Linked DNA regions of Macaca mulatta. The protein of the gene in region 3 purifies or fractionates together with the protein of the main gene of each other region. This does not show direct contact. Links are inferred from orthologs where the notes say so. Each region holds a gene or a part of one and is shown on either strand. Other genes may lie near its edges.

Region 1 (3,653 bases), about 28 Mb from region 3:
CAAACATGTACTGTTTAAAAAAAGAAAACAAAAAAGGAAATGACCAGAGAGCACTTTTTTTAAACATACGTTATACTGTTTATATGAAATTCAAAAGCATTCCATTGTCATTTATTTGCTTATTCGTTGCTCTTTGTCTGGTTTTATCTTATGTTTGCCTACACAGTAGAATGTTTAGTCTGTCTAGTTTTGTCTTTTATTTAACGTTTTATCATGAAAACTTGCAAGCATTATCAAAAGAGTAGAATAGGAAATCCCCGTGTACCCATCACACAGGTCCAGCCATTATCAGTACACAGCCCATCTTGACCCATCTGTACTTCTCCCAACACACACACGTACTAGGTTATTTTAAAGCAAGTCCCAGACCTCGTATCATTTTACCTAAATGTATTTCCATATGTGTATATATATATAAATATAAGGCCTCTTTTTGTCGTTCAACATCACTACACTACTGTTTTCACACCTAAAAAAAATTACTGATTTCTTTTTTTTTTTTTTTTTTTTTTTGAGACGGAGTCTTGCTCTGTTGCCCAGGCTGGAGTGCAGTGGCCGGATCTCAGCTCACTGCAAGCTCCGCCTCCCGGGTTCAAGCCATTCTCCTGCCTCAGCCTCCCGAGTAGCTGGGACTACAGGCGCCCGCCACCTCGCCCGGCTAGTTTTTTGTATTTTTTAGTAGAGACGGGGTTTCACCGTTTTAGCCAGGATGGTCTCCATCTCCTGACCTCGTGATCCGCCCGTCTCGGCCTCCCAAAGCGCTGGGATTACAGGCTTGAGCCACCGCGCCCGGCCTACTGATTTCTTAATACCATCAAACATCCTGTCAGTCTTCACATTTCCTCAGCTCTCATAAATGGGTTTTTGTCAAGATCCAAATGAGGCCCGCACCTTGATTTGATTAACTTTTGTCTTAGGTCGGCCGGGCGTGGTGACTCACGCCTGTAATCCCAGCACTTTGGGAGGCCGAGGCGGGCGGATCACATGAGGTCAGGAGTTCGAGACCAGCCTGACCAACATGGAGAAACCGCGTCTCTACTGAAAAAAATACAAAATTAGCTGGGCGTGGTGGTGCATGCCTGTAATCCCAGCTACTCAGGAGGCTGAGGCAGGAGAATCACTTGAACCTGGAAGGCGGAGGTTGCAGTGAGCCAAGATCGTGCCATCGCACTCCAGCCTGGACAACAAGAGCAAAATACCATCTCAAAAAAAAAAAAAATTGTCTTAGGTCTCTCTTGGTATTTAGGTTTCCCCATCTTCTTTTTGTTTGTTTGTTTGTTTGTTTTTGTGTTTTGAGATGGAGTCTCACACTGTGGCCCAGGCTGGAGTGCAGTGGCACGATCTTGGCTCACTGCAAGCTCCGCCTCCTGAGTTCAAGCAATTCTCCTGTCTCAGTCTCCCAAGTAGCTGGAATTACAGGCACCCGCCACCACACCCAGCTCATTTTTCGTATTTTTAGTAGAGACAGGATTTCACTATGTTGGCCAGGCTGGTCTCAAACTCCTGATCTTGTGATCTGCCCACCTCAGCCTCCCAAAGCACTGGAATTACAAGCATGAGCCACCACACCTGCCTGGTTTCCCCATCTTCTAAAAAAAAAATTTCTGGCCAGGCGTGGTGGCTCACGCTTGTAATCCCAGCACTTTGGGAGGCAGGTGGGTCACCTGAGGTCAGGAGACCAGCCTGGCCAACATGGTGAAAACCCATCCCTAATAAAAATACAAAAATTAGCTGGGTGTGGTCGCAGGCACCTGTAATCCCAGCTACTTGGGAGGCTGAGGCAGGAGAATTGCTTGAACCCAGAGGTGGAGGTTGCAGTGAGCTGAGATCACACTATTGCACTGCAGCCTGGGCAACAAGAGCGAAACTCAATAAATAAATAAGAAAGACATTTTTTTCTTGCCATTTATTTGTCAAAGAAACCAGGTCAGTTGTATAGAATTTTTCACATTCTGTATGACGTTGGCTGTTTGGGTAGAGATTGACACATCCTCTCTGCCCATATTTCTTGTAAACTGGTAGATCTAGAGGCGTAATCGACTTCAGGTGCCAAGAAGACTTGACAGTGGGTGCAAGTGCTTCTGGCCACATCACATCAGGATGCATGGAACATCTCATCTGGTCATTTTTCTTAGTGATAAGATTGACCAGTGGGTTCAGGTGATGGCAGCCTGAACCTTTCATATAAAATTTCTCATGAGCTTCATGTCTAGTGTTTTTAGCAACCATTGGTGGTCTTGCCTGTTTATGAACATCATAAAAGGGGGATCAAACTATGTTTATCTTCTGGTACTTGTTTTTTGTTTTTTAATTTAATGTCACATTACCAAGATCTGTGTACATTGCTGTCTATAACTGTGGCACCTTTTTCACTACTGTGCAATAGTCCATGCACCCTCTCTTTATGTGGCCCTTTTTCTCCTCTCCTACCCACACTCATCTTCCCCAGCAGCCATCCGTGGGTAGTGGCGGGGGGCAATGGTGGTGGTGGTTTTTTTAATCTATCTCATTGTCTGAGTCCTGGGGATTGGATATGTCCTGTTCTGCCTCTCTCCCAGTCTGAAGTTGAAGCTCTAACTGAACAACTAAGTGAAGAGGAGGAGGAAGAAGAGGAGGAAGAAGAAGAGGAGGAAGAGGAGGAGGAAGAGGAAGAAGAAGAGGAAGATGAGGAGTCAGGGAATCAGTCAGATAGGGTAAGAGACGGAGGCTGATATCTCCAGAGGAGTGGGAGACTGTGGGGCTGGTGGTCTGGTCCTGAAGTTGTTGGGGGGCCCCCTTGGGGTGAGGGTTCGTAACTCCTCCTCCTCCCCCTTCCCAGAGTGGTTCCAGTGGCCGGCGCAAGGCCAAGAAGAAGTGGCGAAAAGACAGCCCATGGGTGAAGCCATCTCGGAAACGGCGCAAGCGGGAGCCTCCGCGGGCCAAGGAGCCACGAGGTAAGGAGGCTCTGCTGCTTTTGGGTGCCCTCCTCCAGCCCCCGCCCAGCCCCCAGAGTGTGTGCACGCACACACACGCTCTCTCTCGCATGTCCACCTGCATGTACCCACGCGTCCAGGCACCTGTGAGCTCGCACTCTCACTCTCTCTGTCTCTGTGTCAGGAGTGAATGGTGTGGGCTCCTCAGGCCCCAGTGAGTACATGGAGGTCCCTCTGGGGTCCCTGGAGCTGCCCAGCGAGGGGACCCTCTCCCCCAACCACGCTGGTAATTGCCAATTGCCGGGACAGGGAGCCACTAGGGGGCAACCTCAGGGCAGGAGGGAAAGGGAAGGAGGGGAACCACGCCAGAGCCGGGGTGTCCATGGCCAGGCTTTAGGGGTTCTGGGGCATGGGGGTGAGGTAGGGAGGGAGTGACAGGACCCGCCAGGGGTCCCAATGGGTGAAGTTCAGGGCCTCCCTCAGCTCCTCTTTTTCTCCGTCCAAGGGGTGTCCAATGACACATCTTCGCTGGAGACAGAGCGAGGGTTTGAGGAGTTGCCCCTGTGCAGCTGCCGCATGGAGGCACCCAAAATCGACCGTATCAGCGAGAGGGCGGGGCACAAGTGCATGGCCACCGAGAGTGTGGACGGAGAGGTGGGGCCATGGGCTGGTGGGAGAGGTGCCAGGGCGTCCAGTCCCGGGCCCCAGCCTCACCCTTTCTTCTCACCCATCCTCACCACG
Region 2 (4,354 bases), on a different chromosome or scaffold from region 3:
AACGCTGCTTCATTGAACAAAGAATGAAACTGTGGATCAGCCATTGTATTTGGCTGCATGGCTATTGCTGACTTGCATAGAAGCTGTTTTGGTGGAGCGGTAGGATGGACAAAAGCGTGAGTACCATATTCGAGAGAGAATGCAAGGTTCTCTCCCAAGAACTCTCAACAAGTTCCGCTGAAGAAAGATTAGCTGAGGTGGAGGAGATTGGAGAGGGGAAGAGAAAACAAGTAATTAAGGAACTTTGGAGGAACTTAGTGGACAGTATTATGGGCAGTACTAAGGAACCATTTAAAGACAAGTCCACATAGCTGTGTGCTTTTCTCCAGTCTTGTCCAACTGATGCATAACAGTAGAATGCTGGAAGCAGGAATTAGTTTTAAGGTAAGATGGTATTGAGTAGAGGACAATAAAATACCTCTACTACAGAGCACAGCAATGTTTGGCCTGGTGGCTCACAGAAGCTGAGGCTCTTGAACGTCTGGGCACAGCATGAAGGCATCAAGCTTGAGAGATTGCAGGCCTTAACAAACTAGAAGTGCTAGGAGGAAGGATGGTTCTAAACAAACCAGGTCTTTTCTCACAGAGCAAGCACAGCAGTAGAGATTTTATTTTATTTTATTTTTTAGACAGAGTCTCGCTCTGTTGCTCAGGCAGCAATGGCACGATCTCGGCTCACTGCAACCTCCGTCTCCCGGGTTCAAGCAATTGCCTCAGTCTCCCAAGTAGCTGGGATTACAGGCATGTGCCACCAGGCCCGGCTAACTTTTTGTATTTTTAGTAGAGACCAGGTTTCACCATGTTAGCCAGCCTGGACTCGAACTCCTGACCTCAGATGATCCAACCGCCTCAGCTTCCCAAAGTGCTGGGAATTACAGGCGTGGGCCACCGCGCCCGGCCCAGTAGAGATTTTTTTTAAAGACTGTGGTAGGTCGATAAAGGAGCCATTTGTCGCCTGGGCGCTTCGAGGTCTAGAGAATGAACCCAGTTGGGGTACGGCCCTTTCCAAATCCAGAAATATCTATTAATAGAAGGGCTCCCTCCGGGACCCAGGGGGATGGACTACGGTTTTAACGCCGGAACTTACAACCTGAAGTTCTGCTGCTTGTGACTGCCTGCCGGAGAGACTGGCATGGTGGCGACCAGCTGGGGAGTGGTCCACCACCCCTTTTCTGGCCGCCTCTGAAGTCCCTGTACCTCCAAGCCCCTGCGTTGGCGGTTCGGGCCGAGGATCCGGAATGTTTGCCGGGCGTCATGGCGACGGTGGAGCTCTGGCTCAACAAGCGGCCGCGCGGTTGGCTGGCGGCACGAGGCCGAGGAGGAGGGCGGAGGCGGAGGGGAGGGCAGAGGGTTGGTGGAGCAGGAGGAAGCTCCGGACGACGACTAGAAGAAGGAGGCGGGCGGCCCGGGCCTCAGGCCCCTCCCAGGCTCTGAGTCTCCCGGCTGCAGGCGGATGGATGGGGCTTCTTCAGGCGGTGGCGGCAGCAGCGAAGGTGGCGGCGGCAGCAGCGGCAGCGGCTGTAAGTGCAGCCTCCACAAGCCATCTTTCCCCTTCTGTTCCAGTTTGGGATGAGGGGCTCCTGAGGTGTCCTCAGTCCCCTTTCTCTCCTTCCCCTCCCCCACAGCAGTGTACCGCCCGGAAGACCCTTAACTTCCGGGGAGGGGCTGCCTCAGAACGCGCCTGGCTTGCTCGCCGTCGGCGGCCGAAGGCGCATGCGCAGCTCCCTCCCCGCCACCGCCCACTACCTCCCAGCGCCGCCCTTTTGCCTTCGCGGTGGCGGCGGCGCGCTGGGAATCCGCTGCGGAGTGAGTTCGCCTCGCCCCGTTCGCTTCGGTCCCTGATCCCAGTCGGGGTGGGGCTAAGCTGACCACCCGCTGTGGCTCCGCCTCTTTCTCCTGTATTTCCCTCACTTGTGTCCCAGTCCCAGGAGGCTCCCGCTTGCACTGCAGCCTTTATGGTGAGCAGCGCCCTGGGCCAACCTGCCCTTTTCGAATGGAGTCAGGGAGGGAGGAGAGACTCGAATAGGGTATTACTGTGAGGAAATGAGGTCCTCCTAGCGCGTGGGAGGATCCCTTGGGACAGATGCTTGCCGCTCTTTAGTCTTGTTGTTTCAGCTTGTAGTGGTTAGGTCCCTGGCCTGGAGCCTGTGTGGTCCCTGCATGCTGTGTGACCTTGAGCGAGTCACTATCCCTCTCTGGGCTTCAGTTTTCCCTATTTAAAGCTTCCTCCAACGCTAGAATTCTGTATTTCTGCAGAAGAACTTACGTAATTACAAGATTGACTTGGCTATTGAGGCCGCTTCACCGAGATGACCCGGAGTTGACTGAATCTTCTTCACTCATGGGTGGAATGAGGCGACCTATTTATTGGGTCGCTTTTATTCCTTTACCATTGGTTGCAAATTGCATGACTTAAGGCTCATTAAATGTTTTTCTAAAATTGTCATGGGATCCTTGTCCTAATTCCCGACCATCTTTTTAAACATGTGAAACGGTAGATGGTGAGCTTGTATCTCGTTTCTGTCTCCTTGCTACTGAGGCTCTCTTTCCTTTGATCCAGATGGTGTGGTCGCTCGATTCTCCCAGTGCCTGGCTGAGTTTCGGACGTGGTTAAGAACCAACTGGTTGAGGTTCAATGCAGACAAGACGGATGTGATGCTGGTAGGCAGGGGTACGCTTGGAGATTAAGGGAGGGAAAAGCCAAACTCCCTCAAGTAATGTGAGATTATATTACTCTTCTTATATGTTCCAGTGTTTGAGAATTGATGGGCCAAAAATTTCCAGAATTTGGGTGAGATAAAAATAACATGTCATCAATGTAAGAACCATAAACATACAGTTTGTAATATACTGATAAAATGGGGCCACTGGATAGAACTGTGTAAAACTTATGAAAAGAAAATCCAAAACTGTTATTTGAAGAACCAAAAGCCTACATAAGTGTTTTAGAGTGGCATTAATAATAAAAAATGAGACTAATGAAAAGATGATGCTGATTGTCACTATAGATGTGGGGCTTCTAAATGTAATAGGCTAAGTTTTTTAGATTTAGGAATTTTCAACCAAATTAGTAATTATCCATACAATTTTACCACCACATCATAAAGGCATAGTGTAGGCTGTTGCTTTTAAATAAAAATTTCAGGAAATAGTTTATAAACTAATCTCAAAAGAGACTCATGGACCCTGAAAATTGTTAGATACAGAATTTTTTAGTTTTGGATGTGTTGTATTAATCTATTTCAATCAGCTAACCCCAGAGGCTAAACTGTTATAAATACAGTATTTTCTTGGTGCATTTTGAGAGGTACCTTTTTGGATTGCATAACAGGTTTATATATGATATATATATATGTTACTTGTATTTGAATCAGGTGTTGGTACTGAATAAAAGGTTATATTTCTTAGGTATATGTAAATTGCTGAAGAAGTTTGTTCATTGGTTCGTTTAAGGTACTGGTTGAAGTAAGATTGTGATACTAAATGCTTTTGTTAAAAGCATAATAATAACTGAGGGGTTTGTGTGTGCGTGCGCCTTATAGCCTCTATAGAATTGTTTAATAATTTTGAATAGAAGATTCAGTAAATTGCTTACAAATGATTTATCAATATAATAGGAGTTTTGAGTAGCTTAATGTCATAAAAATTAATGTTAGTTTGCCCGAAAATAAGGCAGCTTTTAGGTGGGCAATAGGAGCTGAAGAGGCATTTATTCAGGCTTTCTATAGTGGTTTTTTGTTTTGGGACATTAATCACAAACCTCACATAAAATTGGAATTCACCACACTTTTTTAGTTTAAAGATTTTATACACAATTTCAACAGAACTACTGTTTTGGATATCACATTAATAAATAACAAGGTGTAATTAAGCAGACACAATTAATGGTGCATTTTCTCATGCCTTTAGCTCTGTCATGTCCTATTTTCAACTCTTCTAGTATGAATAGGCTTTAAAAATATTTTTTTTGTTAACCCAAGTATAAATATTAACTGTTTGCATTTGGATACAAAGAAGATATCTGTTGAATTAATCCAAAGTGCTGAAGAACTAAGGGTAATGGATGGAAACAACAAGGAGGTAGATTCTGGCATAATAAAAGAATGTTTTAAACATTTGAACTTTTTTTGAAAAGAGGAGCCTTTTTATGAGATATAGTGAGTCACTGGAGGTGTTTAAACATAGGCAAAAAGCCTGGTAGTAGAAGCATGATGAGAGATTACTATTTTGACAGAGTAGAGACTTGACTAAAAGATCTCTAAGGTCCCATCCAACACTAAAATTCTGTGACTAGTGAATAGTTAATTTTTATATATTTAATACTGAAGAGGGTAAGTAAGCATTTTGAGAAAGA
Region 3 (2,332 bases):
TCACTTGGTTCCCTATTTGTAAATTCTACAACAGACATCTTAGTGTCTTTGTCAGAATATGTGCTTTGCCACATCGACCTTGGATAAAAGCTTGGTGCTACTCCTGATCAAATTACCTACACGACCTTGGGCATGTGTTTAATTCTTCAGGTTCCTCATCTGCAAAACAGGAGTGAAAATAGCCACATGACAGGTTTGGGTAGAGGAGGGGTAAGTTACAACTCTATGTAAGAGAAAATGTAACACTGAATGAAGTCAGTCACAGAAGCTTTTTTGTGATATAAAGGTTAAAAATACATAGAACTAAAAGTAATTTATTTTAGGAATAAGTTCTTAGAAGAAGTGGATGATGGACACAAATTCAGGAAATGGTCACCTGGGTGAAGGTGACCAGGCAGGATATTGGTCAAATTATAGGTCCTGCCCAGGTGATAGTCATGCAGGGTTTCATTCCATTAAACTGTACAGATGCTTTACACACATATGTATATTTCACACACACACACACACAGAGAGAAAACATCCCAGGAGAAACCTCACAAGAATCAGAGAAACATTTCAGATGTGTTAAGAAATATTAGTTTTATTTAACCAGTTTTCACAGCTGAATATTTATTCTATAAAAACTTTACAGATTGTACAGTTTATATATAGTTCAAACTACGGAACGAAAAGGTAGGTCCCACAGATGCAAAAATACTGTACTAATCAATCCAAGATAAAGGCAGATTTACACACTGTACAGCTCTCCACGTGGCCGGGGAGGTGGTCAGTTCTAAGTATAAACTTCAAAACTGTACAAAAATAAGAATTTGATTTTATTTCGCTCTTCATACATTCAATATGATTGCAAGCTCAGAAGCCTAATAATAGGCATCTGGAGTCTGGAGTCAGTACCCACTCCTGGAAGAAGAGCACGTGTCTATCCACACAGGGCACTCGTGGACACCACACTGAGCTCAGTATACTGTATAGACATAAAAGCAGAGACCAAGAACATTAAATGGTGAATATAAGGTAGTTCTTTTTTGTTTTGAAAGGAGTTTTTGCATTTAATAGTGTGCCAAAAGAATTTTAACTTATTAAATAAAATATATTCTAAGTGAACCTAAAAATTACACTTTATAAACATAAAAATATTTTATTTTGGTGTAATACATCAATCATATCTGCAAATAGAAAACCAAAACTGTCTATAAAGTAGTACTTCTCAACCAGCAACAAGAAGCACTTATGTAGTTATTTTTCAGAAGGGTCAGAAAAACTATTTAAAACCCACTAAAGACTAACTTATAACTTAGTCATACTTAAGCTATTCAGTGATTCACTAATACTGCAAAACAAGCTTTCTTCTAGAGACAGTGGTTTCTTCATGTTAACTGGGTAAGAACTGGACATATTTAAAAAAGAAGCAGAAACCAATTGATATCTCAGCCTGAATCCTAAGCATATGTCTGGTTTGAGGGTAAGCTTCTCAGTGGATTTTTCATCAGAAATATTTATCCTAGAAGCTGAGTCTTTTGATTTAGAGTTTCCCGAATCTGAGGTATCTGTACCTTTTTAGAGAAAAAGCCAACGCCTCAGATCACGGTGTCTCTAAGTGGGGCAGGGCAGGTGAGGTTGGCTAATACCCCTGTAGATTCTGCGTTCTAGAAGGAAGAAATGAGGAAAACAAACATTATTCCAGACTTTTCTGTCATCCAAAACCAGTAAAACACAATTCTGTTTTTTATACAGTACTAGCCAAAGAAAACAAAAATTAGAGCTTCTAAGAGCAGTCTAGTGCCCATCTTTATACTTTTACACTTGCGTGTATCTAAGTATAAAATAATGACGTTTGGACAAAGAAGCTTTGTAGTTATTTTTTTAAGGTTACAGTACTTTAAAACTCCTTGATAATAAATAGCGTGGATGTTCCCAGTCCTGCTTCCAAGTGTAAGCTACGGGTGAGCTTGTTTCAGGCTGTGAGAATGGATCAGGGCAACTGGAGCCAGTGAAGTTCTGCTCAGCCCGATCCCGGTGTCACCAGTGGGCAGCCCGACACTCAGAACTCATCGATCTTCCTCTGCAAGTACTTTAACATGGAGTCCATCCCCTGGGCCGAGCCCCAGATCTTCTTCAGCGCCTCACACTCCCGCTCGTTGGCCTGCTCCAGCTCCATCTTCATGTTGCAGCGCACAAGGGCTTTGGATTCCTCAAGCACCTGCGCCGGAAAACAAGAGCTAGTTAGCAGGGTGCGTGCTGGCAGACACGGGTCCCTTGTGCCTCCACATTTATGGAGGCGATCATCCAATTCCAACAATCACCTGTTCAAAAGGTTACCAGACGTTTT

Evidence for each region.
Region 1: the proteins of CDYL (region 3) and EHMT2 purify together in Homo sapiens (affinity purification with mass spectrometry; 4 studies listed by BioGRID and IntAct, with this or other methods). This does not show direct contact. The link is inferred for Macaca mulatta from reciprocal best matches to the Homo sapiens genes CDYL and EHMT2.
Region 2: the proteins of CDYL (region 3) and MIER1 purify together in Homo sapiens (co-immunoprecipitation; 3 studies listed by BioGRID and IntAct, counting the BioPlex papers as one, with this or other methods). This does not show direct contact. The link is inferred for Macaca mulatta from reciprocal best matches to the Homo sapiens genes CDYL and MIER1.

Annotation. Positions count from the first base shown.
Region 1 is NC_133409.1:150,423,292-150,426,944, forward strand, and holds part of EHMT2 (histone-lysine N-methyltransferase EHMT2), read left to right. Parts: intron 1-2,558; coding exon 2,559-2,693; intron 2,694-2,818; coding exon 2,819-2,933; intron 2,934-3,096; coding exon 3,097-3,198; intron 3,199-3,417; coding exon 3,418-3,566; intron 3,567-3,653. UniProt on the Homo sapiens protein: Histone methyltransferase that specifically mono- and dimethylates 'Lys-9' of histone H3 (H3K9me1 and H3K9me2, respectively) in euchromatin.
Region 2 is NC_133406.1:173,690,268-173,694,621, reverse strand, and holds the start of MIER1 (mesoderm induction early response protein 1), read left to right. Parts: upstream 1-1,414; 5' UTR 1,415-1,453; coding exon of another isoform or gene 1,454-1,457; coding exon 1,458-1,520; intron 1,521-1,625; coding exon 1,626-1,806; exon of another isoform or gene 1,807-1,958; intron 1,959-2,560; coding exon 2,561-2,661; intron 2,662-4,354. UniProt on the Homo sapiens protein: Transcriptional repressor regulating the expression of a number of genes including SP1 target genes. Probably functions through recruitment of HDAC1 a histone deacetylase involved in chromatin silencing.
Region 3 is NC_133409.1:178,275,194-178,277,525, forward strand, and holds the end of CDYL (chromodomain Y-like protein), read right to left. Parts: intron 2,204-2,332; coding exon 2,045-2,203; 3' UTR 564-2,044; downstream 1-563.